Linked DNA regions of Caenorhabditis elegans. The protein of the gene in region 2 purifies or fractionates together with the protein of the main gene of each other region. This does not show direct contact. Each region holds a gene or a part of one and is shown on either strand. Other genes may lie near its edges. The genes, in order: Y73F8A.32, R03G8.3 and kdp-1.

Region 1 (12,527 bases), on a different chromosome or scaffold from region 2:
GCAAGAGCTCATCGTGTAGATATGAATTCTGTTGGTTGTGTCTTGGAGATTGGAAGAATCATGCGCAATGCAATAGGTTTGGAGATTGATCTGCAATTTCCCGCCGGCATGTTCACTGGAGCGCACTTGCTGATTTTTTAGCGTTTTTTTTTTCTCAAACACTCAATTATTTATAATCTAAAGAAGGAGTATCGTTTTTTTCGTTTATTTCGTTTTTGATAAGTATATCCCCAATATTTGCTCGAAGCTACGAATTTCGTGAGGAAAATTCGAAAAATTACCTAGTTTTTCCTAGAATCTCCGATTTTGACCACTTTTTCCTTACCCAGCGGTTCAAAATTGCCTTTTTTTTTTGAATTATCATCCTTTTTTGCATAATTTGGTCGTTGATCTCACCTTATTTCGTTGATTAAGGTACCTATTGGCTTTAAATGCACCAAAATATGCAAAAAATATATGAAAATTCAAAAAAAAAGTCAACGTCAGACCTCCTCTGCGACACGGAAAAATGCCCGAAATTGGAGATTTTAGGTAAAATTGGGAATTTTTAAAAGGTGGGCGGAGCCAAATCGCATCCGCCGCACGTTTATTTCGCAAGCCTCGCACGTTTTTTCCGTCATCATGTTGCCTTTTTTCGTGGAAAAAAAGTCGCGCGAGGATTGCGAAATAAGCGTGCGGCGGTTGCAATTTGGCGTTTTTTGAAATTTTTTCGAGAAGTTTCACCCTAAAATTCGTTAATTTCAGCACATTTTGAGTCTGTACTTTTTAAAATTGAGCGTGCATAAAACCAGGCCAAATTAGCGCTTAAAAATATCAACAAAAAAAAAAATTGCAAGTGCGCTCCAGTAAACTTGGTGATTTGGCGCGAATTTAAAACAAAAAAGATTTTTTCATAATTTTCAAATTTTGCTTTATTTCAGATACGTGGAAGACGACAACAAGACTGACTCTCGTTCGCTATCGAGAAAGAATCTACAACGATATCTTTTCTACTATAATAGATTCATGGCCCATCAGAATAGTATGAAGTTGGAGGGAAAGGTTTGTTATTTTCAAAGCACCCGACATCTGCCGGGCTTCATCAAACATTTTTCAGCTCTACGCGAAAGTGGAAGTAAAAATGGACCTAATGCAGGCACTCTCAATGTCATGGATCGAAGTTCAATTCCTTCGACGAGCGGTCGATGCGCTTTGCGAGTGTCGCCGTACGCTGAAATATGCCTACGCCTTCGCCTACTACCTGGAGGCGAACAATATGACGACACTGTTCGAGACGAATCAAAGTGATCTCGAATTGGCGACCGAGCAGCTGTCCGGGATGTTGGAAGGCGATTTGGAGGATAATGATTTGGCCGAACTGAAGCGGAAGGTGAGGAGCAGCACACTCAGATGCGGCCGACATCTTCCGGGCTGAAATTTTGTAATTTTTATCAATTTCCAGGTCCAAGACAAGTACCGCTACGTGGAGCTCCGCCGCAAAAAGATGCTCGATCATTGTGCCGAAGGTGTCGAGCTTGATAGTTGGGTGTTCTGCGAGTAATTAATCATTTTAATATTTCTATGTATATTTATTTGAAATCTATCGATCTCGTATCATTTTGTTCTTATCCTACTCTTCTCTTATATCAACTGACACCCGATAAATATAAATTCTCACTATGATAATTTATTATTAGCATTTTACAAACTTTTTGAAACCGTAATTCTTTTTTTTTGCTACAACATTTTTTTCTGTTGTGACAGCAAAGGAGGAATATTTTAATTACGGGCTCTTTGACGTCAACCATGTGGCAAAAGAATAATTATGAAATTTAAAAACAATCACTTTAATAACTTTCCAGTAACTCGAAAATTTTAAATTTTCTAGAAACAGTAGATTTCAAAAAAAATTTCCGTTTTTATTTTTGTTGGCCAGTGACCCAGTGACCAAAAATGCAGAAATTGCAAACTTGCTCACAATCAGTGTTCCAAAAATTACTGTGTCGCCATTCAAAGAAGTTGCAGAAATAATTATTCTGGAGAGCAAATTGAAGAGAATGTAATGCATTTTATAGGCTGTTTAGATGCTGTGGAAATAATAATTTTGAACAAATTTACTGTTTCTAAAAGTTTTGTTTTCATTTTTTGGATTACTGGGGAAGTGATGGTCTCTATGATTTAAATTTTTCCGAATTTTTGGAATGAGATACGAAGCCAATTCAAGTGGAGAATATATTCTTGTGAAGTTTTTGAAACAGGAATTTTATTTTCGATTTTTTACAATTTTAAATTCTCGGAACGCTTTATGTTAGACATGAATAGTTTTTTGATTTTTGAGAAAATCCAAAAAAATGTTTTCCCAACTCGTTGTGTCAATCCAAAACATTTTGCATATTTTAGTGTGCGAATTGTGATGCACGGTTCTTCGTATAAAGTGGAAGAACTACTTGCTTGAACTACATCTGATAGCTCGGCGGTCCACCAACTAATATACTAATATAGATTCCGAGTTATCAAACAGAATACCAACTTGATAAGGCATTATTGCCATTATTGGCACTAAACCTTTCCACCATTGACTGATTAAACTGATTAGGAGAATATTCAGTACTTTTCCGATTTCTGCCCCCAAAATGTTTTGGATATATTCATTAATGAAACGTGAACTTTTTTTGTAATTTCAGGCTTATAGTTAGTAGTGTTGTTTTCTGAACCTAAAAATTGAAATAGTTTTGAAATAAACATTCACGTGAGAATTTAAATTGAAAAATTGAAAAAAAAAACATTTTGGGGGGCAGAAATCGGAAACGTACCGAATATTCATATAAATATGAAAGTGCCTATATTTTTTAAAAACTTTTTTACAAGTTTTAGAACTAATATTGCAGTCAAAGAGTAAGAAAATATTCGAAAAAAAGCAAAAATTAAAAAAAGTCATTCAGAGATCCATTAAATGAGAAATTTAATTTTATTGGTTTTCTGAAAATTGAATTTTATTGATTTTATTGAGTTTTTCAACAGTCATTACTTATTTCCGTGAACCGTTTTGATATTAAATTGTAAATCTAGGTCGGAAAAGTCACACACACCGAGGAGTTAGGCTTCCCTCATCCTCCCTGGATCAGTCGGTAACTGCTTCGGTCGGGGAGTGGGAGGGGTGGGATGAGTTCAATTCTTCCGGAAAAGATGAGGGATTTTGACCAGGTCAATCATTCGTCCAAGGGGCGCACTTACTGACCCCGCCCCTTTTTTCACTCGTTTTTCTCATTTTAACTTGAGCATCGATTCTCTTTAGTTTTCCTCTGTTTTTCGAACAAATTTTGTCGAATTTTAATGAAATGTTCATAAATAAAATGTAAAATAATCGATTATTTCACAAATTTGTCGAAATTTCGGCTTTTATCGTCATGAAAAATCACTTTTCCGTAATAATTATAGAAATTGACGATTTTGCCATTTTTTCAAGCCTTTTTAGAACTTTTTCGAGTCTAATATTCGCACAATTTGATCGATTTAGCAGAAAAAAAAATTATGTTTCATTTCTCCAGTGTCCGTGTTTCTTCTATCTGTTTCCTTTTCTGTCCGTTCGGGTTTCGGCTCTATGTTTCCCAATTTTCTTGTGTTTTTTTATTAATTCTTCTCAATTTATTCAATTTCAGCTGTAAAGAATGACCGATGCGTGGATCGAGGGGCGGCAACGATCAATATGCTCAAGGAGCACTCACCCTTCTCAACTCGCTTCACGCATCGGCAAGAATTCATTTTTTTTATCACGGAAATAATTATTGAAAATTTCAGATTCCGAATTCTGTGGCTGAAGTGTTGGATCAGAAAAGTGACTGCCGTCGACATTTTCAACAGCAACGGCTCGGAAAGGCTCGCGTTGATCGACCCGGAACCGTTACATCCACAAGCTTGCTGAGAAGAGTACGATTAACTTCGCGTTGAGGCCAGGTCCTGCTCCAAATCATGTGGATGCCTATGTCCCCGCCGTTGGATCCACTCGCGTACGAGTTCATCGAGTCTCCGAATCGTTCCCAGTCGTCGGCAATCGTACGTTCTTCAAATCGGGCAACGCCTTGCTTCTGTTGAAGTGGATAAGACAAATCAATGGAGAGCAAAGTGTTCGTTTTAAATTTTTCTCACATCTTTCTAATAATTAATTAATTTCAGCTATACCTTATCAACATTCAATCAAGAGGGTCTGTAGTTGTTGCTTTGGAAAAAAAGCCCAATTTACGGTGCTAAGTGGAAACCCAACGGCCGAGAATTCGCTATTTGCTATGGTTACATGCCAGCCAAAGTAACATTCTATAATCCGAGAGGAGTTCCAATTTTCGACACGATTGAAGGTCCACGAAACTATGTTTTCTATAATGCATTTTGAAATATTGTTTTGATTTGTGGATTTGGAAATATCGCAAAAGGAGAAATGAAGTTTTGGGATGAGGAGACGAAAAAGGAAATTATTTCGATCGAAACACTTTTCGATAGGGCTCCAGATGGTCAACCAAAAAGTATGAGCGAATCAAGTCGAAACGTGATGGACGAGTGTGTTGTTATTTTTTCAAAATCTATCTTTTTTAAACTTGACCAAATTTCGAAGCACTTTATCTAGTAGAAAAAATCTGTTTCGTTTTTGAAAATAAAATCATCACCAAACGGTACCTAGCAAATTATTTCAAAAAACCAACAAAAAAAACAACACAAATTTTTGGAAATAAAATCCTCACCAAACGGTACCTAGCAAATTAAATCAAAAAATCAACAAAAAAAAACAACAAAAATTTTTGAAAATTGAAATTACCCTTACTTTTAATATAGCTGTTATTTTCAGGATATCAATCAACCAGCTCGGGATGAAACGAGTCGAATTGTCAGATTCTCTTCGTCACCCTCTTCCTGATCGTCATCTTCGGAAGATGAGTTCTGCGTGTCCACTTCGTCAGGTAAGTATGACTCCAAAGTGCCACCACAGCTGGGGCAACCATCATGTGAGCAGACGAAGTGTACGGGCAGCTTGCATGTAGAGCATCGGAGCCATTCAGTGACGATTGATTCGAAGTCTGTCTCGTGAATATCCGAATCAAGAACGGGATCCGCCTAAATAAAATAAAATTTTAAAAACATAGGTTGAATTGAATTTTACAAAGTGGCATTTGCTGCAAATAGACACGTCTTTCTTGGGTGGCAAAGAAGAAGCTAGAAGTTTATTCGATCGCTTTCTGTCTCCCTTTTTGCGTCGCTGAAATTTAATAGAAAATACTTAATAGTTCAAAATTTGGTAAGTACCACAATACGATTCATAGTCTGCGTTGCTGTTCTATATGGAAGATGAGCATCTCGGCGAACTGTTAAGACCTGGCTGGTTCCAGGAGTATTCTTGTTCGCTTCACGAACAATTTCGAGATTTTTTCGCATAGTTTCCAGGGACTCGGCGCTACTTGACTTCTTATATTGCCTCATCTTCCTACACAACACGTCATTTTCCTATAAAAAAATACATTTCAAATACTAAACCATCATAGTTTTACAACCTGCATAAATTCATTGTACAATTTTTCAGCCTCATACGTGAAGCCCATCGTCGAAGGTGCATTGAATGGTTGATGTGGAGCTGGAAGAGGGATGTTTTGGAATGGCTCCATGTCCATATCATCACGGTCAGTTGCAGGCGTGTTGGTCTCATTTTCTAAAAACAGTAGATGTATATTAGAGCCTATAAAGATGCAACAGAATTTTTTTTGGAATAAAAATTATAAATTTTTTTACAGGGTGGGCCAAAAGTATGGTAACACATGAAGCGCTCTTTTACATGAGCTTTTCGCGCGACTGCCACGTCATACGTACATTCTTCTATCGAATACTGATAGCTGAATAAATGTCCTTCAATTTGACTCAAAATTTGTAATGTTTCCCAATAAGGTGCGATCTTTATCACCTCGACAATTTGGCGAACCCTTTCGAAAAAACGGTAATTTGGCACGCGGCACTTCCCACACAAACACACCTCCCACGCACGCCAATAATTTTCAGATGTATGATTTTTATGTTAAATTTAAAATTAAAGAAGTGAAGAAGCGTTTTTGATTGTTTTTGTAGCATATAAAAATTTTCTGTGTCGACACTGGCGCCTAGCAAGAACCTTTGAATATTTCATGAATTCAACTTTGCGAAATTTACTCAGTTTTTTTGGTTTCGCAAGGCGTAACGACCCACAAAATCATCCGAGCTCAATTTTCTGAAAAAATTCTGGAAAGTCAGGTCAAAACGTCTCGAAAAATACTAAAATGAATTTTTCTGCATACTGCTACTCGCCGCTCACATCCATCTTTCTGGCGACTATGCCATTCAAGACTTAACCTACTGCCGCAGTCCATGACAGAAATACCGTGATAGAAATTATTTGGATTTTTGTTTTTAAAGAATCTCTAGACCAAGAGCATTCTTTGAACTATAAAAACTTGTAAGACACTTGATGGATTCCTCGAGAAAAATGTAGAAATCCCGCAGAATGCCGACTTGCGTGTATAAAGGTCGTGATCTAAAAAGTTCTGAAGGCCTGCAGCGATGCGGATGGGAATATTTTGAAAATTCAAAACGTTCATCTGGTCAGTATTTTATGGAGAACAAAACTTGTACAAATTGATGTAATAACTCTCCACTAGTAAAGTTATAGAGCTGCAAACGTGTTACCATACTTTTGGCCCACCCTGTAAAATTAAAATTATGGATTTTTTTTTGGAATAAATATAGTGGTACTTTTTGGAATAAAAATTGTGGAATTTTTTTTGAATAAAAATAGTGATATATTTTGGAATAAAAATAGTGATATTTTTTGGAATTAATAATATGGAATTTTTTTTAATTAAAAATATGGAATTTTTTTGGAAAAAAAAGTAATTTTTTTTGGAATTAAATTTTTGTGGAATCAAAAATTACTAACCTAACAAATGGCCTGATGCAATTGCCATATGGACATGTTTGCAGCTTACACCACTTTTCTGGCCAGGACAAGTACAAAGGAAACGTGTCCAGCAAGCTCCACAGGAACAGTGACAGTTCTCGTCCTTGGCACAAGAGCATCCCAGTAAGTCTTCAACAGTGTAAACTTTTCCAGAAGCTTTAGCCTCAATTTCGAAATCTCCTTTCTCGTTTTGTGAGAGGATGTAATCCTCAGCTTGAAGCTTAGCCTTGGCACAATTTCGCAAATTTTGCGCTTTACGGGCTGAAGCGGTTTTCAAACATCGTCCTGACTGCTTAGCAAGTTTGCGAACCACCCATTCAAAAGCATCATATAACACTTTCAACAAGGCATCAATTCGAATATTCGTGTGGAGTTGCAGGTGTTCTTTCTGAAAAATAAGCCAAAAATATTATCAGTTTTTAATCTCTTTAAAAAATTACTTTCAGAGCTGCGTGCCAACTTTCGCTGAACATCGACGTCTGGAAAGGAGCTCCACGACGAAAGCAACCAGCCCACAACTTATCATAATCTGTAAGTTTTATTTACTTCAACTGAAAATTAAATAAAAAACCTAAATGACTTCTTCTGAAGTAATCCGCGTATTGTTTGCCGTTCTCACAATCATTTTCCAAATGTTCCAATAGTGTAGCCAAAAGATTTTCATACTTTGCTTTCGTAGGCTCTCCCATCATCGATGTCAGAGTTCCTTTAACTGTCTCAGCCTCGCATTTTGGAAGAAGTTTGTCAGCATTTTCGAAGAGAGCTCTTTGCACGTGCCAGATGCACCAGAGTCGCTGAGTTTTGTGATTTTTGAGAACCTGAAAAACGTAAACTTTAAAGCTGAAATCTAAAACCTATCTGACACAGTTATATCCATTCCAGAAAGCATGTGCTTCATCTGACATGAAGTATTGTGGATGAAAGTCTGGAATTTCTTTAACAATGCATTCAAATAATTGCTTGACATCTTCCTGGGTTACTGTAGATGAGATCATATAGGCTGAAACTTCCATGCGCTTAGCTCTTTCGTACACTTAGAAAACTTACCGACTGGAATTCCACGACCATGACCATTTACTACCAGCATTGTTGTGAGCTTGAGATTGTATTTAGATGGGTTGTGAGTGTCATCAATACAGATTCCATCGTTCCCGTATCTCTCGCACAGCTCTTTTTGGTCAGGTGTCATAACAACTGCAATAAAATGGAGGAATAAAAAACCGAGTTTTTACTTCATACTAATCTTTTGTCGATAAATTCGGCAAAACAGCCTTTTGTCCATTTGCCGATTTGCCGGAAATTTTCAAATCCGGCAAAACGGCAAATTACCATAAATTTTCAAATCCGGCAAAACGGCAAATTACCATAAATTTTCAAATCCGGCAAAACGGCAAATTACCATAAATTTTCAAATCCGGCAAAACGACAAATTACCATAAATTTTCAAATCCGGCAAAACGGCAAATTACCATAAATTTTCAAATCCGGCAAAACGGCAAATTACCATAAATTTTCAAATCCGGCAAAACGGCAAATTACCATAAATTTTCAAATCCGGCAAAACGACAAATTACCATAAATTTTCAAATCCGGCAAGTGCCGCCCACCCCTGCAACATACCCATTAAAAAACCTGCTCCATCATCTCTTGGTGGTGAGAAAAACCTGATGCCATCTTCCGGCCAATTTCTATCCACTCTTTTTTGCAAAGAAATGAAATCATTTTCATCGAGGCGGCCTTCGGCAAGGTTGTACTTTTTTCGCAAGTACCTAAAACAATTTTTCAAAAATAATTTATTTTTTTCTTACCTCAAATCAGATGGTACTATATTTGCAAGTCGGCTTGTCAGATCGTACTCCTTATCACATTTACGAATAATTTGAACATTCGAAAACCCGTCTTTCATGAACCTTTAAAAAATCATCTTCAAATAATTCTAAACCAAATAGCGTACCGAACAAGTTTTGAAATTTCTTGCTCATTGAGCAGCCGGAAGCCTGGACGTTTTTCGTGTCCGTAGTGCTCGAAATATCCCACCGCTTGAATAGTTCCACTCAATACATCTTTTTTATATAGACAGAAACGATGGACAATGATGAGATCCAGTCATTTTCCTTGATGGGCCCACGAGCATCTTCTTGGCAGTCGAGTTGTAGTGACCTTCATGACGGCAAATACGATACACAGCGAGTCGACTCGACATGTCCTCGCTAGATCGAACTCGGAAGCTGGTGCAAGAATCTCGCTCTCGCACACTCAGCCAGTTCTGAACAGTGGGTTGTTTTTTCGAAATTACATTAAAAACAGTTCACCTGGAATTCTACCGTAGTTTGAAAGTTAGTATATTCAACTTCCGATTCGGGCTCATGAAATTCTGAAAAGTGCTGAGCCAGTTCCAATCGAGTTGCAAAATTCGAGCCGCAGTCTTCAACAGGGCATAGAACGGTCCCCTTTGCAGAATTTTCGTCAGCGTTTTTAGACTTGTTACGTGGGGCGGCGGATTGCTGTCGCAAGGTCACAGAACGGTGCTCAGAAGCCGATACACAAATCTTCTGTTAAAATTCCATAATTTTTGTTCCAAAAAAAAAACCATAATTTTTGTTCCAAAAAATTTCAAAAAAAATACCATAATTTTTAGTTCCAAAAAATACCATAATTTTTGTTCCAAAAAAAAAAGACCATAATTTTTGTTCCAAAAAATTCCATAATTTTTATTCCAAAAAAAAATTATTTTATTACTAAAAAAAATCTATATATTTTATTCCAAAAAAAATCAAAAAATTTTATTCCAAAAAATTCAATATATTTTATTCCAAAAAAATCAATATATTTTTTTCCAAAAAAAAATCACTAAATTTTATTCCAAAATTATCAATTTAATTTATTCCAAAAAATCGGTATCTCTTGTGACAAGAATCACCTGTGGTTAGGCAAAACAATATTCATAATAACATTAAAAAAGTACCTTTGCTGGGGGTGGCTGTATCGCCGTTGGAGGTGGTGGCAGAACGATAATATCATCCTCGAGTGAAATTGTAGCAGGATCTACAGGCGCATCGGGGAGATTTGTAACTTTTGGATGCTTTCTTCTTCGATGCGTCACTAATCCATTCTTGGACGGTAGAGTCAATCCACATGTGGTGCACTCCCAAGCCACACCCCCATTTCGATCCACGGACCTGCTCAAAGCAAGTTGCTTTTTGAATTCCTTTATGTCTTCATCTGTTGCATTGTGAATCGAACCGAGATGTCTGGTGACGTTATTCAGCAGGGTTGACTTGTAATCGCATTTGTCACACAGGATATAGCTAGCCATTTTCTTTAAACAATGATAAATTTTCATAAAAAATAATAGATTTTCGTTCAAAACCGATAAAATTTCTTTTTAAAAAATGATACATTTTCTGAAACAACAATAATTTTTTGGAAAACTCAATAAATTTTCCAAAAAATAATAAATTTACGGAAAAATCGATGAATTTTCGGTAAAAATCGATAAATTTTCGGTAAAAATAATAAATTTTCGGAAAAATCTATAAATATTCTGTTTAAAAAAATAAATTTTCGGAAAAAAATCGAAAAATTTTTCTTTCGAAAATAATTTCGGAAATACGATTCCTACTGTATTAGGGAAACACTAAATTCTGAGAATGCGTACTGCGCAACATATTTGACGCGCAAAATATCTTGTGGCGAAAAATATCTCGTAGCGGAAACCGCAGCAATTCGTTCAACGATTACTGTAGAGCTGTTGATTTACTGGCTAGACTTTAGAAACGAATTTATTTTCGATATTGAATTTTTCGTTGGTTTTTGCCATTTCGATACTTCAAAAAATCGTCAATAAGTTACAAAAGCAATACAAAATGGGACCAACGCTACAGTAGTCATTTAAAGAATTTTTGTAGTTTTCGCTACGAGATATTTGTTTGTTGCGCAAAACGTATTCTCAGAATTTAGTGTTCCCATAATATTATTTCTCACTTCCAGATCATCGACGCCAGGATGCTGCTTTCTCCGCCAACCAACTGCCGTTTTTTTTGTTTTCTCTGTAAGTTTGCTCTGTGCTGTTCCGTTTTTCAAATTCCCCTGTGTTAGTTCAATTACAAAATTTCAGATTTCCCGAAGGTTTCCAGCTCATCTTGGGAAGAAGATGGATTCGACGCCAGGACCCTCCTCTCCACTCCGACCGACTCTTCTGGTTTTTCCCTGTACGTTTTCTCTGTATTGTTCTGTTTTTCAAATCTTCTTTGAAACTTTAAAAAAAAACAGAAGATCATTAAATAAATTTTATTAAAGAACATTTTTAAGCAAATTTAAAAAAAGATAAAATTTAAGCTTTTTCTTTATTCTCCAGCTGTCATGTTGTAAATGAACGGGAGCCGGTGAGCCGATGAAAGATCATTCCAGTTTGAGAAGTACTCGATTAGTAGGCCTTGATCTCCATCATCGAATGAGCCGGACGAGGTGGCGAGAGCGAGAAGAGCTCCTGAAAATTAAAAATTGGAATAAAATTCAATTTTTCATTTAAAAAAACTTACGATAGACGGTGAGCGACGGCGTGAACACGAAAACTCCCGAATTGAACATATCCGGCCATCCGATATCGGCGGCGGCAGAGAAGTCGGGTCTTTCGAAGAGTTCATCACAGTTCCTGATGATCATGGTGTCAGCATCCAAGAAAACAGCCTTCGAGTATTGAGTGAGACGCCAGCAGTGGAATTTGGTGAAGGTCACACTAGATCCGGGCGGCCGATCAACGAGAGATTCTCCGAGTCGTTGCTGTTGAAGAAGTCGACGATATTCACTTCGTCGAATTTGTTCTCCAACTCTTCACGGACAGAATTCGAAATCTGGAATTTAATTTAATTAATTATTTAATAAGATTTTTTTTTATTGAAAAATCACCTCATTAGTGATCAAACAATGAATTCTTCCGTTGCCGATGCGTGAAGCGAGTTGAGAAGGGTGAGTGCTCCTTGAGCATATTGATCGTTGCCGCCCCTCGATCCACGCATCGGTCATTCTTTACAGCTGAAATTGAATAAATTGAGAAGAATTAATAAAAAAACACAAGAAAATTGGGAAAAATAGAGCCGAAACCCGAACGGACAGAAAAGGAAACAGATAGAAGAAACACGGACACTGGAGAAATGAAACATAATTTTTTTTTCTGCTAAATCGATCAAATTGTGCGAATATTAGACTCGAAAAAGTTCTAAAAAGGCTTGAAAAAATGGCAAAATCGTCAATTTCTATAATTATTACGGAAAAGTGATTTTTCATGACGATAAAAGCCGAAATTTCGACAAATTTGTGAAATAATCGATTATTTTACATATTATTTATGAACATTTCATTAAAATTCGACAAAATTTGTTCGAAAAACAGAGGAAAACTAAAGAGAACCGATGCTCAAGTTAAAATGAGAAAAACGAGTGAAAAAAGGGGGGGGGGGGGTCAGTAAGTGCGCCCCTTGGACGAATGATTGACCAGGTCAAAATCCCTCATCTTCTTCCGGAATTCCATAATTTTTATTTTTGTTTTTTTGCGCCTACTAGTACCTGTGAAAATTGTAACT
Region 2 (10,926 bases):
TTGCGATCGTTCATTCACAACTGAATACATATTTGATATACATAAAACAGTTTGAGGAATTTTGCAATAAAAAACAAATTATGTAAACTGTCCCTTACATGGAATTTTTATCATTTTCCTAGACTAACCCAACACATATGCTACGCGATATATTAAACCAGCCGAGGACTACGGCGCGGCCCCCGACCTTTTTGAGAGACGCGAAAGACATGCAGTGTCTATCGCGGACCTCGATCAATGTCGGCTGCACATTTACCATAAAGCCCGGGAACTTCCAGTTGTTTCGAAATTAAAGGTAAACTACATAGGGACAGACATTAGCGCTTTATATACAGGGTGGTCCATAATTATGGCGACCTGCTACGCGCTCGCAAGAACTTGATTTCTGGGGTTACCATGTTACGAAAGTTTTAAAATGTGATTATTTTTAGAAGTTCACAGTATTTTCTGTCATTTAAGTCAATTACCATACAACTTCCTTCAACTTTAAAGGTAGTGAGGACCTTACAACATCGGGAATGATTTTTCTCTATTTTAGAGGAGGTCTAGCGCCCGACGTCTCCTACTGCGCTCATGGGATCAAGTAATTAGTTTCTATGTTTTAAATAATTATCAAGACTTCGTACACTCAAAATAGCAAAACCCGAGCCGATAGACATATTTTGTGCCAACTTATGTTTGGATTTACGTAGCCATTCGCCCTTTCAAAACAGTGCAAACAGTCCGTTGTAAAAAGATTTGCCCAAAAATTCTGTTTTCTGTGAAATATATCAAAATATTGAAAACCAAATTGTCATTTTAAGTTAAGACAAATTTCAACTGAACACATTCGCATTTTCAACATGAAGATCGTTGGCTGGTAAGGAAAAAAATTCGCAAAACTTGGGGGAGCTTACTTTTCTTGACTTTACTAACTTTCACAAGATGCCACTTCCGTCACCGGACATCAAACTCGAAAATTATTCGTGAAAAGCTTTGTTGTATCAAGGGTATTCCTAATATATAATCAAAATAATAAATCACTCAATGTATCTCATTTAAAAATCACCACTAACAAGTAAGCTAAATCGAGCCTACTTGCGCGCCACTGCCGTGTGGAGTGGTCATAAATGTCAAGTTTTATATGTCATTTTGCTCGATTTTTTCTAACCAATAAAATGTGTATATTCACTTGTTTTGCTCGCTGTCCAAAACAAAATTACAGTGCCCTAAAGTGGTCGCCATAATTATGGACCACCCTGTATAGTTAATGATATTAGTTCCAATTTTTTGAGGCATATGTTTTGTGTTTGGTTTTTTCGATATAAAACTTTTTTCCTAATTAAAAACATTTATACTCAAGATAACTAAATAGTGTTTCAAATTTAGAAATACATTTCTTATAATGTTATTTTGTTTTAGAGGTATTCCGTCAATTCTCTTCGTCGAACGCTTCATGATGTTTTTCGTTATTCACGAGACGGATTGACTCCGTTTCACAATGCCTTTATCATTGCATATGTTCTTGTATTTGGAGAAAATGAAATTCTCCGTCACGAATCTGTGTTGTACCTTGTGGACGCAGTTTACAATACTAATAACAAAAGTATTGTAAATAGTAAGGACATCGAAACAGTAAAGGTTGGTTTTGATTTTTTGTTGATTGACGATGAAAATAATTTTTAGGGACTTGTAAATCAAATCGAAAATTTTGAGTTGTTTCCAAAATGTGTACAGTCTCAAACATTTTCGAGTTGTTATCAAAAAAGAATTCCACAAAATATAAATTTGCGCGCAATCATGCAATTGAAACTGAGTCAAAACACAATGGATCTGATTGTGGCATGGGCTGAAAATGGAGTGAATGAAGAAGCGAAATTGGGACCAAAATTGATGCTTGGGTGTAGCACTAAAGAAAACCTCAAAAAGTGAGATAATCCGACATATTTCAATTCATTATTATACTTAATTTTCAGAATTTCTGGGAAGCTGGGTGGAAAACAAATGAAATGCAATCTCTGAGCTTGGAATAAAAAACTTTTGACAGATGAATATATAGTCTCAATCTTATCATGTTTTATGAATAAAATGTCAAAATCTGAAAAACCTTTATAAAATGCATAGGGTAACAATTGAATTTTTTAATGAAATTCTTGTAAATCATGTTTTGATTATAAAAAATATTCATTTGAAGTATTTGAAGATAACAATCGGTCTTACCCGTATTTCATCAATTATACAAAAGTATATTTATGTAACGTTTTCCAACAATCAATTACAAAAAATTAAATTGATAATGAGAAAGAAAGTATTAAATTCATTAATAATATTTCATAATTATACATACAATCTCTAGCGATTTACCCGAAACCTATAAAACTTTCAAACCCTAGTGCACACAAAATTCAAAAATTTATCAAACCTGCATAGTTTATCTCCCTTTTTTCAATTCTAATTTGCTTTGATTCTTGCAATAACAGTATGGCCGATGATGCTCTGATCCTATGCAGTATGCAGTGCTTCCATATTTGTTACTCCTCTCTACCATTCCTAACACTTTAACTTCTCCGTTTTCGAGAATTTTCACATTTGCCTGAAAGTTTGATGTCAGAGTTTGAAAAAATTCAGTAAATCGATACCTTATAAACTGCTTTACTTGGTTTTGTCATTTCAACGACCGCCGTGTATAACATGGAACCTTTAAACTTTTGGTCAAACTGCAAAAGTGAGACAACCTGGAAAATGAAAAATTCCCAGAAAATGTCTTCAGGTCGTTTTTTTTTACTAACGTGATCAACTTTCATTTTAACACATTTGTCCGTGAATTTGCCTTCTTCAATTTCATTATTCACAGCTAGAGCCACAGCTTCGCCAACCCCCTTAGCTGTTTCACTTTTTCTATAATTTTCAGCATTTGAATGGTGTTATTAAACTCAAAAACTTACGTGGAAACTTGTGTTTTATTGAACTGACAAATGCAATATTGCATAGGAATTGGCATGTTTCGGCAGTTTCTCAAAATATCCGGCTGTGTCCGGATATACGAATATCCTTTCTCGCCGGGAATTATCAGAGGGTCGAGGTCGGTGAAGTTGCTTGCAGATTGATACTGAACAACAATAATCGTTGAGATTTATGTATTTTATATTTTGCAAGGCAGTAAAAAAGGGTTTTAATAAACGTTTTCCACCAAAAAATGACACCAAAAACTTATTTTTTCATTTACTTAAAACATTTTACAATAAAGTTCCAAATTTAAATACTCACTTTCAGAATATCCAGCATAGTTGCTCGTGTATCAAAGTGAGTTTGAATTTTTTGGGCATTCTCTCTCATCACGTTCAATAAGCCTGTTGTTTGACGTAGATTCTTTGGGATTGAAACTGCCAAAAATGGGTTGCTCACATCCAATGTTCCGACAAATGTTTTTCTAACGTTACCAAATCGAAGGCCATGATCTCCCATGAAAAACACAAATGAGTTGTCAAGCTGAAATATTATATGTTTAGATTTCTGTCAAAGTTTGTCTATTTTAAATCGACATACCTGCTCTCTGTGTTTTATCAAAAATTTGTGAAAATCCTTATCAGAGTGTGGAAATCCATTTTCGGAGTCGTGACCCAAAATAGATGCCCAAATCCAACGAAACTTATTTTGATCAGGATATGCGTTAATGAACTGGGAAAGATAGTCGAGAAGCGTGTGATGATCTTCACGGCAATATTTTTGATTTTTCAAATGGCTCTTGGTAAGTGGTTCTCCGTGATTTGCACGTTCCAATGCATTTTGGAAAGGTCTGAAATATGGAAGACTGCAGCATCAAACTACAATTCAAGTGATCATTATTTAGTGGAAAATTTATAAAATATGCATCTATGGCGCTGAAAGGATCAGTGAAATTTTCTATATAATTGTTGAAAATTATTTTAATTCATAAATAAAAGGTAGCAATTACTCACAATCAGTTTTCTCAAATTATTATTTCGGAACTCGATCAAAAATGTTTTTTCACATACAAGTGCTATCCAAGTCTTCTCTACATTTCTCAAAAACTGAAACCCCCCAAAGCTTTAACTGGAATGTTTGAAAAATCAGGAAAACTTCACAATGCCGTACTACGTTTTTCAAACGCATTTTATGTCTATTCAGACAAAAGTATTCCTGGTTCTACTACATATTCTATTTACCTCATAAGGTGGTCAATTGGTGGTTTATCAAAACCTTTACAGTTTGGCCAGTTGAGTGTTCCTTCCGCCCAGTCTTCCGCCATCAAAGTCTGTTTACAGAAGTGTTGGTGAGCATACAATGACTTGTCAAACTGACCTTGTATCCATAGTTTTGATATTCTTTAAAAAGTGATGTTTCGTTGTCCTTATAAACGTGGCACATATAGGCATGCGACCAGTCAACTGGAACGTTTTCCTCTTCAAATAAAGAGCGATCCAACTTTTCTAAGGATTTGCCTGGAAATTGAAAGATACTTTAATTTTAAAAAGAGTAAAAACATGTATGCTTAGAAACATTTTTGAATATTTTAGAACTTTGTGAAATTGCGAACAAATTTTGGAATGTTCTGTAACAGGCATCATAGTTAATAATAACAACTCACCGAACCACAAAGCAGCTCCATTAGGTCGACTGTTGTCACCAACTTTGTTGATATAGGGAAAAAGAACTGCATCCATATGGTTTGTCATATAAGAAATTGTTCGTAGAAGTGATCTGAATTTTTACCTTTCTGTGCGTATGCATTTTTTCACCTACCTCTTTGCTTGAGTAAATGATAAAGAATCCAGCATAATCACTGTGACGTCATAGTTTTTCAGCTCGCTCACTTTGACTGTAGGTTGTTTTGGTGGTCTGAAATGAGCACATTGAAACCAGTTCACAAAGTTTCAAAAATCTCACGTTGCAATCACTTGAGTGTGCAAAAACCCGTAGACATCTTTCTTGCCGTCTGCACAAACTGCTTCAACAACTTCGCAATTGATAGGCCCCGGTGTATACGTCCAGTTGCCTATTACGTTGTATCTCTCACTTTTTCTTGTATGGCATCTGAATCTCTTTTTAAAAAGTTGAAAAGTTTTTATATAAATTACCTTGCTCTGCATATTAACTTTGTTTTTTTATTAACAACACCCCAACTGCCGTTATTTAAAAACGTCAGAGGCTCGCGAGATTTGTTGCAGTTTGAAATGGGATTTACTTCCATGTTAAGATACTGAAACAACATCAATATTAATATCTTAGTACTTCTGAACAGTTAACTTACTGGTAATATCTCATCATCCCAGATATCATACTGTGGGAGTTCACATTGATCCCAGGGTTCCACTTCCGATTTATTCATTACCACTTTACTGGGGATGTTTCCAGAAATTGGTTGATATAAACCAAGATATTGCTGAGGAGATAGAAGTGGAGAAAACATGGTGAAACCCAGCAACACCAGATACATGGCAAAGCATCCTGTCACAAGAAGTGCTTTCCATGGAACGTACTCCATTTTTGACAAATGACGCCACATAATGTTTTTCGTTTCCTTAAATTATTCTCATCAAAAGTGGTCAGAAGCATGGGGCGGAAGAAAACATAGAAAAAATATGACGTTGGTTTTTGGTGTTTCAAAAGGAGAACAGTGTTTAATTTGAAATTTTCATCTCATATTTTCAACTCACCAACTCAAAACTTAATTCTGGAAAAAGGAACTTGTACTTTTTGATTAATTTAAAATACGAACATCAGTTTTAAATCTGACAGGGTATGAATGAGTGGGGAAAACAAATAATTTAAACATTAATGTTCTCTGTGATAAGGCTCTATTTGCAAACACTTCATGACTATCCAAATCATCTTGTGAATTGATTCTTAATAAAGAAAATACTTCAAAGTTTATATCATCATTTAGACGTATGGGTGAAAAAAAAACGGTAATCCTGCATTAAAGAACTTGAAGTGTTTAATGTAAACGTCATCTTATCAAAAGATTGTAAATTGTAGTGGGAGCATTTAATCTTTTTATGTAACGAAATATCATAATGAAACGTCGCTGAAACATTTGAGTAATATTTTATGGCGGTTTGACAATTCTTTTTTTTTTTATCTTGAAATGGTTTGTGAGTGGTTCAACGCAAACCTTGATTAATGTCGGGCGCAGATTTTATTAAAAGACCGTTCAAAAATTCGTAAACACCCGGAGTTGAAAACTAAAAATTTATATAACAATAAATGTAGAGGCGGAATACATAAATCTATGGAGTTTTCTTTGGAATTGAATATGTTTCGAATTCGAACTTGCATTTCGATTTTTATCAGTTAATTTTCCAGCTATCCAAATCATACTTCTGTTTGGCAATTTAGTTACTCATCGCTCCTGTCTTATCAAAGGATTAATTTTGATTTATTGAACTCATACATGTACTGTCGAGTGGAATTAATTTTAAACAAATGTAGAAAACTATCAATTTTTTATTTTTGAAGTTAAGAACTTTGTCACCTCATTAACTATACAAAAGTGATATCCATCAAGTTTTTGTTGCTCAGAATTTTTAACGTCAAATAAACTACAAAGGGGACATGCAGTATTATAAAAAAACCAAAATAGGAAATATCAATTGAAATTTTTAAAGACCACACTTCAAAAATTATATCTTTTTTCATCAGCTAGAGTTTATTTGAAACTTCCTAGGCGTGGTTATGAGTTTTATATTCTTATCATTATTGCCGGTGCTCCTTTTCTAACTATGAAATCATATTTATGCCAGGGTGGGGTTCAACTAACTACTAACAGAACTTGTGCATAGATTCTTTTACTTCTAATATCAGTAGAAAACATTGTGTCAATATTATCAAAAATTATAAAAATGCTAACTACAAAATACGGAGAACTAAAAAAAAAAGAAAGTGAGGCAATGGCGATTGTTTGGCATCAAAAAAAATTCAAAGTTATTCATTTGCAATAAAACTTGACAATAGCATTTAAATAAACAAAACTGAGTTAGAATCATATTGATCTTTAAAAAAAGACAATTTTAAATATTCGAATGAAAAGGTGTAAAAGTTTTGAAAATGTATTTCTTGCGAACTCAAAAGTCTTTTTTAAAACTAAACTTACCTGAAACATTTCAATGGCGTCAACACAAACCTCAAACCTCACAGGTCTTTTGTATAAAATCTTCAAAACTGATAACCCAGTCTGCGGTTTATTTGCATCAAAATAGCTTTCCGGACAATGAAAGTTGGGCAAATCAAGTGTTCAAGAAAGAGAAATCAAATGTACACCTTATTTCTTAAAGTTTATAGCATGCACATTAAGAAAATTTTTTAGTTTTTTTTTGTCGAAATATGAATTTGTTAATCATTGAGATGTTTCGATTGCAAATTCAGGAACTTATATCTTGAAATTATCAGAGAACTTTAAAAATGCAAATTGCATGGATTATGATTTTTTTGAATAAAAAATATATGGGGGGGGGGGGGGGGAAATTCTCAAGAATGTAATTACGAAGGCACGACAGAAAGCACAACAAAATTATTCGGATCTTTAAAGGTGCAGTAGCGCCAGTGGAAAATTATAAAAACCATTTCTTTTGTACCAAAACGAGAAAAAAAAACTTTTGAAAAAGTTACTGAGCTAAAAATTGTGGTTTGCACGTCTCCATTCACACAAATACAGAACACATTCAAAATGCTCTTTTGATCTCATTCCTCATTTTTGTGCTCTGCCAGTTTTTTTTTAAGTATTTGCTCTTCTTATATGTAAATGACGTCAAGCTAAAATAGGAATAAGTATGTTTGTGGGTGTGTTTTGTTGGATAGTTCATAAATACCAATGAAAACGAAAAATGAAATTGTGTTTTGATTTTCTGATATACGGACAGGCAGTAGAGAATAAGGCACTTTAACTCTTGCTATCTTATTAATGATGTTGCTGGCGAGGTTGTAAACCACGGAAAGATAAAAACTAAACAGAACAAATGCATATAATTGAAACTATTGATTTATCAAATTTTAAAGTGGAAAAGTTAGACTCAAACGCAAAATTTTCTAACTCAATATTCTAGTTCTTATCGAGAAAGTGTTGGATGTGGTTAATAATAATTCCAATCGAGTCTTTGCCTCTGGAATGAACCACTGAAACATTAAATATCTTGTTTTGTCTGAACTATGAACGATACTAATCAAACTACAATAATTATTTATTTATTTATTCATCATGGAAACAAAAAGAATATGATAAGAAAAACATAACCGGTTATGATATTTACACGTGTAGATGAATAAATTAAAATAAACTCGGCCCGACAGAGCGCGAGTTTAAGTGAGAGGAAAAGAGATCAGAATTTAGATATTTGACAATCAACAAGCGAAAGGAATTGTGATGGGGAGAGGAAAAAGCTAGAGTTGCGTACAATGCTATTCCATATTGGTACTACTTGGGAGAAAAAGCTACGACATTTGGGATTTTTAATTTTAATGAGCATCGGACGACGAGACGAGTTAGCAAGCGTAACAAAGTTACTGCTTTTTGGGAAGTGCGCTGCGCCGGTAAGAATTTTGTATAGAAGCAATAGTTGGGCTCTTAGGCGGAGAGAGCGGGCTGATGAAATTCCTAGAATTTTTAGTCGGTTTTCGTAGGATTTGGAGAAAGCATTGTGTGTTTGTGGAGCATTTTTTATTTTGTATTTAATATTGCAGCGCTGTAGGACCCGTTTAGAAAAGTAAAGTAATTAATGGTACATTCTAATTTTCTTTGGTTTTTTGTAAAATTGGACCTACCTTTATAAACATGTACTGATCAGAATTTGGAAAGCACAATATACCAGGGAAAATTCGCAATAATACTTCTGCACGCCGCAAAAAACATTTTTTCGAACATATAACTTTAGAAACTTTATTCAAGCCTTTTACAAGTGATTTTAAATACACTTTTAATACAACCTTTCTTCAAATTTTCCCCTCAGGTTTATTTCAACTAATTTTTTTAAGAGAAATTATTGCTTTCAGAACTATTAATTAACAAATAACTCAAAATTCAATCTAGTCCAAGAACATTGTTTAGGTTGTTCTTTACAGTAACAGATTGGCCGATGTGTTTCCGATTCTATGCAATCAGCAGTTTTTCCATAGGAATCGACACGTTCGACTTTGCTCACAATCTTGATATTTCCTTCAGTGATTTTCACAGTTGCCTGGAAAATGAATGATAACGAAATTACTCGAATTAATGAAATACTTTAAATTTAGCTTCACTTGGTTTTTTCATCTGAGCGATGACTGTGTATATGGTAGAATTTCCCAGTTTCTGGTTGTATTGCAGCAGAGATTCCGTCTGTAACGTTTTGTTTTCCTAGTTGTTTCATAGGAGTAAATCTTACCCTTTCAAACACCATAGAGATACATTCAGAGGTGAAATTGTTAATTTGTAGAAGTTTATTTACATTCTCAGCTACTTTTTCACCGATTTCCATGGAAATGGTAGAATTTCTGAGATAGTAATACAAAACAAGTTTGCGAAATTTCACTCACATAGGTACTGAAGTTTTATTGAATTGACAAATGCAATATTCGAAAGGTATAGGCATAGTTTGACAATTGCGGTTGAAAGGTGGTTGGTTTCTAAGATGCGATTGTCCTTTCTCACCAGGAATTTGTAATGGAGTTATGGCAGAAAACTTTTCAGCGGGTTGGAACTGAAAATCCTTATTTGTATTTTCTTTAATTTGTTTTTTCTTAAGCCAAAACTCGCCTTCAAAATGTCTAATATAGTTGCCCTTGTATCAAAATGGGTTTGAAGTTTTTCAGAATTCATATTCAAAATCTTCAAAATATCAGTGTTGGTTCGTAATGAGTTTGGTACAGAAATCGCTGTCAATGGGTTATTGACATCGATGGCTCCGACTGCTGTATTTCTCACTCCACCGAGTCTGAATCCATGATCCCCAAGGAGTAACACAAAGGAATCTTCTAACTGCAATGTTTATTATGTGATTGATCCATTTTCGACGTTTTGAGAGTGAAAAATAATTTACGCAGTCATTTTAACAAAATCAAAAAAAAAACAACTCATGTGGTCACCGTGCCTTTTGATTTGAACCTGAGATGTACACTCAAAATATATAAACTGTGTTGCGTGTACGCCCAAACGGGACCACCTATTTTCAAAAAATCAGAGAAAAAACGCAAAAATCGGGACCCCAACCAATATCAGGCCGCCGACATTTTATGGATTCTGCACGCCACTGTATTTAACTTGCAGTGGGCGTGACGAGCTGTCCCTTCCGCTTCAAAGAAAATATAGTGGGCCGCGGAACTCGGTTGATGTCTGAGGCTGATATTGGTAGGGGTCCCGATTTTTTTGCCTCCGTAATTTTCCGAAAAAGGCGAAAAAGGCGCCTGTTTGGACGCATGATATGCTGTTTTATTATTTTGAGTAAACGACAGGTCAAAGAGAGATCAGCAACGTTAAAAATGGGATGGTGTGTATTTTACAAACCTTTTTCCGATGCTTGATGAAGAAATTCAGGAAATCATTATCTGATCCATTTTCAGTAGCATCAAATCCATTTTCAGTAGCATGGCCAAGCCTTGTGGTCCAAAGAAAAGCAAATTTTCTCTGATCAGGACTATTTGGAGATTTTTCTCTCTTAAGCTGAATACTGTCATTACTACCTGAGTAGGCATCTAAAAATTGGGCAAGGTAGTCCAGAAGAGTATTATGATCTTCCCTGCATAAACTTCCATTCAGATGCTCTCTAGTGACTGGTGTTCCGTATTTTTCATGAGCTAACTGGAACGGCCTAAATGAGTAATCTTTTTCACCATTTCAAAATTATTATTATTATATGAAATGCTTTATATCAAAAAGCTTATTGATAGACAAAAAAAAAACAAACGAACCTCATGTAATGATCAATTGACTGGTTACGGTATCCTAGGCAATTAGGC
Region 3 (7,763 bases), on a different chromosome or scaffold from region 2:
TCTTTTTTTTTGGTTTTCGAGCAAAAAAAAACTACAAGTGATTTAGAAAAAAAACTCAGATTTTTGTTTACTGAATTTCGCACTAAGCAATTTTTCTTTCTTTCCAATTTTATTAAATCTGTTCCCAAATTTGATTACTGTAAAAATCCATACTTTCCAACAGACACAATCCGATCACAATTCTGTTGAAATCTAGCGCCAGCGTCGAAAATCTCCGAGGAAAGTTGCACAAATTGCTCTTTTTGATTATCTTTCAAATGTACTCCACTTTGTTCAAAATCATCAAGCAACAGGGTGAGAGTTCGTTTATCAACATCATCCAGTCTTGAAGATTCAGTGATTTCTGATGATTTAAGCTTCTGATATAGTGCTGTATTTGTGTTCAGGCTTTCAACGAGCTCACAGAAATTTCTGGAAACATCTTCGGCCGCATTTCTGAACTCGGGCTCACTGTGCAGTTGACGAACACATTCAGCCTGAAAATATGAAAATATCAGTAACCGTAGAGCCTAAAATTTTCAAAATTGTCTGAAATTCAGAAAAACCACAAAAAAACGAGATTCGCGTCTGCACGTGGTGCCAAGCTGTCCCATTACGGTTTGATCTAAAAAAGGAATTTTTCGCCCAAAAAATTGTGACGTCAGCACGTTCTTAACCATGCGAAATCAGTTGAGAACTCTGCGTCTCTTTTCCCGCATTTTTTGTAGATCTACGTAGATCAAACCGAAATAAGACACTCTTATACATCACGTGATTCGCCGAGGCACCACCGAAAGGAGAACAGGTGAAAAAGGAGAAAAACGAGAAGGAGAACACAAAACCACGCCCATTTTTCGTGCGGTGCGCAAGTTTTTTCAGAAACTTCTGCGAATTTTCATTTTCAAACGAAACAACGAAACTCCGAAATAACGCATTCACGATAAACAACACGCGATACGTTATTTCGGAGCTTCGTTGTTTCGTTTGAAAATGAAAATTCGCAGAAGTTTCTGCAAAAACTTGCGCACCGCACTGAAAAATGGGCGTGGTTTTGTGTTTCGTAATTCTCCTTTTCGTTTTTCTCCTTTTTCACCTGTTATCCTTTCGGTGGTGCCTCGATTCGCCCCGCCTTCTCTCGAACCAATCAGGAGAGATGGGCGTGGTCGAAGTCGCTGATTGGTTGGAAGTTCAAACAGTTAGAAAGTAGCCGAAAATATGAATTTTTCGGTTTTTCTAGATTTTTAAATTGTGGTTTTTCTGAATTTCAGACAAAAAAAAGCAAAATTCTTGTTTGAATTCCCATGAAAATAAGAACTACAGAGACTTTTTTGGTTTTTTTTTAGTATTTTGTAAGATTGATTTTTCTAGACCAAAAAAGCCAAAAAATTCACTTTTTTACGGTTTTAGGACCAATCAGAGACTCGCTCCGCCCACTTGTCGACCAATCAGAAGAAGTGGGCGTGGTGTCTAATTTTGGAGGAAATTCAAACTGGAAATTTCGCCAAAATTTAAAAATCGCATTTTTTGAAGTTTTTTTTCTTCTGTTTTTCCATTTGCTCTCCTTTTGTGAGACACCACGTTTTCAAGATCTAGTCGGAAACAAGATCTACGAAAATAAGATCTACGAAACGAAGATCTACGTTTTCAGGATCTGGCACCATGCCAACTGCGGTTTTCACAGTTTTCTCGAAGAAAATCGAAAAAACGATGCTCCGATATTACACGGCTCGCGTTGTTTATCGTTCAGAAAAGCTTTTTTTGAAATAAAAACTTTTGGAAAACGATAAACAACGCGCGATGCGTGATATCGGAGCATCGTTGTTTCGATTTTCTTCGAGAAAACTGTGAAAACCGCAGTTGGCATGGTGCCAGATCCTGATAGCGTAGCTCTCGTTTTCGTAGAACTCCAAACTGTAGATCTTGCTTTCGTAGACATTGTTTCCGACTAGATATTGAAAACGTGGTGCCTCAAAAATCGCGTTTTTTTTTGTGGTTCTTCTGAATTTGGGAACTTTTTTCGAAGCGAAGCTTACAAGATCCGCCGATTTGCAAATCTCATTCGAAATATCATCGACAATTTGAATAGAAGTTCTGGGATTCTGCGATGGGGTTAGAAGCTCCTGAAAATTTGAATTTTACAGGATTTCAATTGGATTTCAGAGCTCTCCTAAATACCTGAATAAGAGCATCAGTTGATTTTTTAACTGCCGCCGGTAATTCATTGAAACTTTCTGCGGTTTTCAAGTTTTTATTTCCAAATAATCCCTGAAGTTTTAAATTTAAAAAAATCCATTTTCTTGAAAAAAAAAACCGTTTCTTTGTCGACCTTCTCGCTTCGAAATGCTCTAGCCACCCAGCTATTCCGGCTTATCGTTCGACTATGCCGTAATATCACACTTCGAAGCATTTAGTGCTGTAGAAAAAATCACTATAGTCTAAACTAAACTGGATTCTATTGATATAAGGAACGTTTAACCTTTTTTTAATATCGAGAATCGGAGATCAGACATTATATTTCAGATAAATGGGGATGAAAAACACGTAAAGTGGTGTAAAAATTTGAGAAACAATGAAATAAATAAGAAAAAGTGGCATTTTTACAGTGAATTTTTAACAAAAAAAGGATATTTATGAAGCTTGACTCGACTCGTCCGACTCGTTGTGTGCTGTTGCAGATGGTCTTGGAACGTCTGGAATATAGTTGCTTCCCATATTTTCCTCTTGACCTGACAATTCCATTTCGTCCGTGGCGGCTTGCATACCAGAATTCCGACCGAGGAAGTTCATTGCTGAAATCAACATTTTTAATGTTTTCCAGAAGATTTTGAAATGAGGACGCACAAAAATGCTTATTTTTGAAAAAAAAATCGTTCCACGACCAATTGAATCGGCTAAATCGTAAATTTAGAATTTTCCTTCAGGTATTTTTTGTCTTTTTTTTTTGTGCTTTTTAATTAAATTTTAATAGTTGATAAAAAATGTTAAACCTCGTATCTGATGTCAAAACTTCTGAAAAATCCGCTTTCAAAAAATTTCCCCAAGAAGGTGAATTTTTCTGCGTCTTCATAATAATTCAGAATTTCCAAATCTACCTCTTGGCGGAACACGTCGTCTTCTCGATCCAGCTGGAGAATCAGCAGCATGAATTTTTCTCCGTGGTCCACTCATATCGTTCTCCAAATCTTCATCATCAAAATAATCGTCATCCTGGAACAAACATTCCTAAAGGATTTAGAAATATTCTAAATGCATTAACTTACATCTGCCTGCTGCGGACGACCGAGATGTTGTGATTTGAATCGAACCGGATGAGCCCAACGGCTTGTCGATTTTCCATGGAATCCATCGTCGGCGAGAAGATCGGCTCTTTGAGCTGACAACTTGTTCCACACATTTTGCATATTTCCGAGAAGAGTTGTCAATCTTGGCATCAGAGAGAATACGGTCATTGTTTTCTCTTCCTTTTCGAAACTATCAGTGAACTCAGCAGCATATCGATCAATGGTTTTGAGCTTTTGAGCAAGCAAGTTAGCTTCCTTCAAAATTTCAAAATTCGGTTGAAGTGTTCCGTCTTGCACTTTTTCGAGATAGGCAACGATTAGCTGAAAATTATTTTTTTGTAAAAAAAATTAAAGGCGGAGTAGTCGAAATTGTTTTATTGCTTTATTAGACTCAAAATTGTCTGAAAACACCGAATTTCATAATGAAACTTCTTGAAAATTTCTCAATAAAAAGTTATGACGGCTCAAAAAATGGCCTAAAATTAGTTAAAATTTGAAATTTGACCGTCTTGCAATGTTGCAGCGGCTGGAAACAATTTTTTTTTTTGAAAGCACCGTCAAATTTTGAGCATACAATGTCATTATCTTGCGTTTTTAACTCGATTTGGGTACTTTAAAGTCGATGGACGGCGAGATTTCGTAAAAAAAAAATTAAAAATATCGCCGTCCATCGGCTTTAAAATACATAAATGAAGTTGAAAACGCAAGATATTTAAATTTTATACTCAAAATTAGATGGAGATTTCAAAAAATTAGTTTCCAGCCGCTTGACAAGTCGGTCAAATTTCAAATTTTAACTACATTTAGGCTATTTTTTGAGCCGTCATAACTTTTTTTTGAGACGTTTTCAAGAAGTTTCATTATGAAATTCGGTGTTTTCAGTCAATTGTGAGTCTAATAAAGCAGTAAAACTATTTCGACTATTCCACTTTAGTTTGCTGCTGTATTGATTTTCATAACGAGATTTCTCAAAATAATATTAATAAACTTTTTAAGTATGTCAAAATTTCAAAAAAAAATAAGAGCCAAAACTGTCTAAATTCTGAAATTTCGCAAACTTTTCATGTCGCAGCAGCTGTTGTTACATATTTTAGTCGTTTAGCTCGCAATTACTAGTAAATGGAGGTACTTTTTTCAAACATTTTTTCCAAAATTAGGTGTCAATCGACTGAAAATGTGTCTTAAATCAACGAATTAATGCGAGATAAGATCGAAATATGCATTTTAGCGAATTTTAGGTATTATTTTAAAATTTTTGAACCGCTAAACAGCATTTTCAGAAGTCTCATTATGAAATTTTGTCTTTTTCTGGCCTCCAATTTCTCGAACGCACATCAACCCGATTCTGAAGCATGCTCATTGCTGCATCTTGAGCCTCCGCGTGTTTCTTTCCAACTGATTTCCCGTCTTTTCCATGTTTCGTTGATAACTTAGCGATATGATTAACACCGACACGTTCACTTTCTTCCGACACTAAAATCCATTCAATTGGCTTATGCTTCTCCTGATCAGTCACGTCTGCTTCAAACGCGAAAAGTGGAAGTTTACGAGTGGTTCCAGCAGTGATAGAGTTGAGTTTAAGGAAAAGTGTCGCGTCGATTTGTCCGGCTTTCTCTGAATTGCGAACCGCATTGGTGAGTTTTGAGAGAAGAGGTTTCTCTTCGGGAGTCAGATTATCATCCTCCCCAGCACAATAAAGACCGATAACTTGGAGCTCGGGAAACACTTCCAGATCTGAAATTTGGGGAAAAAAAACTAAAATGAGCAAGAACAGAGTAAAACTGACATTGATCTGCTCTTTGAAGGAGATGCTCCGTGCTAAAAGTAACCGGCTCAGCCATTTCTTCTGTCTCCATTTTCAGAACAAATGAATTGATCGCCTCGACTTGTCGTCCATTCTGCCGTCCGAGAATTGCTCCGAACACTTTTTTCACAGTAGGACCCTGTTGGACCTTTGTTCTGGAGTAGTGTTCGGACATTTGCATAATAACCAAAGGATGCAAAAGCACCTTCGAGCTACAGCTCCCGCTTGGTGCGTTCAATGCCATTTCTGAAAATTATTTCGAAATTTGGTTTCGAAATCGGTTTTTTTGTTTCAAGCCAGATAATGATTTGGAAATTTTGAAAATATTCCTGGATTCACTGGTGGAAAAACAAGCTAAACGGGAATTTTATTGATTCACATTGACATAAGTTTTACAGAACATAAAACTTCCTACAAAAAAGAGATAATGCAATCGAGTGGAAATTATTTAGGATCCTGGAGCCTTGACGTGGCTAAGTGGTGGAAGTGGAGTTCCGTTGACCAACGAGATGAGGTTGTAGATGGCGATGACAAAGCAGATGTAGGAAAGGACCTTGGCGATCTTGCTGACAGCGACATCGAATGGTCCAGCCTCTTCGGACTTCTTTCCTTCGAGAAGAGCATTGGCGTAGGTATCAACTCTTTTCTTGAGGATTGGATCGTAGAGTCCGTACTTTCCCATGACAAGGTTTCCGCATTTGGTTCCCTCTGGCAGACGTGGAAGGATCTTTCCTCCGGCTCCGAGTTGCCACTCTCCTGGGTTCAGTGGATCGAATTGTTCGAGGGTTGGTGGGGTCTTTCCGGCGTTGGTTGGAACAGCCTGGAAGCTGGCGGTTCTCATGGAAAAGCGAGCGACGCCCAAAGTCTTTCTCAAAGCCAACGACATGATTTTCCTGAAAAATGTGTTTTAAAATGTGGAGAAAGAAATAAAGAATAAAAAAATGAAATTAAGATAAGAAAAGTGAAACGAACACTTTTTATGAACATAACAAATATAATTTGTTAAAAAGAATGAAAAGCTTTATTTATAAACAAGTATTTACAGTGGCCATGGGCACCACTAATAAAATGGAAGAGGACTGGCGTGATAAGCTCGTTTTCCACATTCCAGAACTGCATCAAACAAACGGAAAAGTCCAGTATCTCTTGGTCGCTCTAAACCTCTACGCATTCTTCTCCTCATCACAGCAACCATTTCTTCATGTGATAATTTTCCATCCAAATTGTCATCGAACAAAGTAATCACCACATCCACAACGTGATCCGATAGAGGTATTCCAGTCACTTTGACCGCAACTCGTTGAAGTAGCTTCGCATCTATCGACATTCCAGCCATTTTATGAAAGTGTAGAGCAATATCTACATCGTCAATGTGATACAAAAACTCGAAAAATGCTTTCGTCTCTCCAAAACTGATTCCTTTCAAATTTTCTCCTTTAAATCTTCGTTTAACCCGCTTCAACATATGCTTCTGTTTCTTCTCATTAATTTGAGCATGAAGAAGGAGAAGTTGAGCAAAACTATCTTCGTTGATAAGTCCATCCGGGTTATCCAGTGCATCTCTCCGTTCAAATTCCATCTTTAAAATGTCGTGTTGTAGACGCTCTTGAAACTCGATAAATTTTTCAGACGACAAGCTCCCCTTTCCGTCTTTTCCAAAGAAATATGTTTCGAGAGCGGAGTTTGTCTCGACACGGAACGACTGGTTTGGCGTTATATGATCTCGATGACGCTGTCCTACAGTTGTTTGGGACATAATAAGCTGTTGAACTTTTGTGAATTCTTCTTTATCCAGCGCACCGTTCCCATCTACATCGAAGATTTTGAATGCGAGAGCGAAATCCGCGTGAGAGGCTGGAAAAGTCAATGATATTTTGAAAGAAAAACGAGTATTAAAACTCACTTGAGAGCAGAGTCATGAGAAACAGATAATCACTGAAGTTTATGAGACCGTTCTCGCCGAGCTTGTAAAAAATACTGTCAGGGTCGGAGAACTTGTGACGTTTATGCTTCTCAGGATTATAGTTTTTAAAACTATCAAGCCCCCAACGTCTCGGCTGCATCACACCCGGAGTGAAAGAACGGAGAAAATCCTCAGGAGTCATGAAAACTTCAAAGCGTCCACTGTCTTCGTTAGGATCGATGATCTGAAAAATACAACTAATAAATAGATTTTTGTCAAAGTGACTCACTTTCAGGGTCGCAAAGTATCTGAAAATCTTATCCGGAGTGGAATAAAGCCTCAATCTGTCTTCATATTCTATGATTCTTCGCTCTCTGAATCCCAGTTTCTTCTTCTTTGGCTTTTCTTTGACTTCCTCTACTTCACCATTGCTTTCAGTGACTTCCTGAAGACCGCAAATTAGAAAAATTGCAGGAGTGATAGAAAAATAAACACGTGAGAGGTTGTAAACCTAAGAAGCTTGTGAGAAAAATTAACAGAATAACTGAAACTGACTATTTTTATCTTGAAATCACAACACACAAGCTGGTATTAGGTGAACTAGCAGGAGCAGCTCACTTCTTTTTGTGATGCTTCTGGACGGAACGGCAACGATGCGCTCTTGATCTGATCCTTGAGCCTGAAAAAGCGGTGAAATACGAAAAACAAATCGACGCAGGAGAGCACGAACCATTCGAAATCACTCATCAGGATAACCATTCCAGCGATCACCAAGGCATAATTCCAATGGTACAGC

The links.
Region 1: the proteins of R03G8.3 (region 2) and Y73F8A.32 fractionate together in Caenorhabditis elegans (co-fractionation; one large-scale study listed by BioGRID). This does not show direct contact.
Region 3: the proteins of R03G8.3 (region 2) and kdp-1 fractionate together in Caenorhabditis elegans (co-fractionation; one large-scale study listed by BioGRID). This does not show direct contact.

What each region holds. Positions count from the first base shown.
Region 1 is NC_003282.8:15,513,230-15,525,756, reverse strand, and holds Y73F8A.32 (uncharacterized protein), read left to right. Parts: upstream 1-4,314; 5' UTR 4,315-4,530; intron 4,531-4,816; 5' UTR 4,817-4,822; coding exon of another isoform or gene 4,823-5,082; intron 5,083-5,128; coding exon of another isoform or gene 5,129-5,224; intron 5,225-5,271; coding exon of another isoform or gene 5,272-5,469; intron 5,470-5,516; coding exon of another isoform or gene 5,517-5,671; intron 5,672-6,925; coding exon of another isoform or gene 6,926-7,334; intron 7,335-7,386; coding exon of another isoform or gene 7,387-7,475; 5' UTR 7,476-7,477; intron 7,478-7,517; coding exon of another isoform or gene 7,518-7,764; intron 7,765-7,809; coding exon of another isoform or gene 7,810-7,946; intron 7,947-7,993; coding exon of another isoform or gene 7,994-8,140; intron 8,141-8,566; coding exon of another isoform or gene 8,567-8,715; intron 8,716-8,754; coding exon of another isoform or gene 8,755-8,856; intron 8,857-8,900; coding exon of another isoform or gene 8,901-9,212; 5' UTR 9,213-9,219; intron 9,220-9,258; coding exon of another isoform or gene 9,259-9,498; intron 9,499-9,911; coding exon of another isoform or gene 9,912-10,262; intron 10,263-10,936; 5' UTR 10,937-10,951; coding exon 10,952-10,997; intron 10,998-11,063; coding exon 11,064-11,200; 3' UTR 11,201-11,251; downstream 11,252-12,527. Other genes in the region: ari-1.4 (RBR-type E3 ubiquitin transferase), read left to right, coding at 1-76, 921-1,041, 1,097-1,369, 1,442-1,540.
Region 2 is NC_003284.9:13,085,711-13,096,636, reverse strand, and holds R03G8.3 (uncharacterized protein), read right to left. Parts: upstream 5,673-10,926; 5' UTR 5,658-5,672; intron 5,522-5,657; 5' UTR 5,507-5,521; coding exon 5,252-5,506; intron 5,201-5,251; coding exon 5,079-5,200; intron 5,035-5,078; coding exon 4,888-5,034; intron 4,840-4,887; coding exon 4,744-4,839; intron 4,702-4,743; coding exon 4,589-4,701; intron 4,443-4,588; coding exon 4,303-4,442; intron 4,256-4,302; coding exon 4,167-4,255; intron 3,776-4,166; coding exon 3,526-3,775; intron 3,469-3,525; coding exon 3,247-3,468; intron 3,089-3,246; coding exon 2,925-3,088; intron 2,878-2,924; coding exon 2,769-2,877; intron 2,715-2,768; coding exon 2,619-2,714; intron 2,573-2,618; coding exon 2,411-2,572; 3' UTR 2,221-2,410; downstream 1-2,220. Other genes in the region: R03G8.6 (Aminopeptidase), read left to right, coding at 1,402-1,620, 1,666-1,907, 1,956-2,001; R03G8.1 (alkaline phosphatase family protein), read right to left, coding at 8,991-9,170, 9,215-9,310, 9,357-9,465, 9,508-9,671, 9,728-9,949, 10,475-10,778, 10,879-10,926.
Region 3 is NC_003282.8:13,298,375-13,306,137, reverse strand, and holds kdp-1 (KASH (Klarsicht/ANC-1/Syne Homology) Domain Protein), read right to left. Parts: upstream 5,951-7,763; coding exon 5,513-5,950; downstream 1-5,512. Other genes in the region: Y67H2A.7 (Peptidase M3A/M3B catalytic domain-containing protein), read right to left, coding at 154-476, 2,013-2,099, 2,155-2,244, 2,291-2,386; csn-6 (COP9 signalosome complex subunit 6), read right to left, coding at 2,608-2,768, 3,072-3,201, 3,240-3,581, 4,594-4,994, 5,047-5,308; micu-1 (Calcium uptake protein 1 homolog, mitochondrial), read right to left, coding at 6,125-6,918, 6,968-7,211, 7,257-7,412, 7,586-7,646, 7,698-7,763.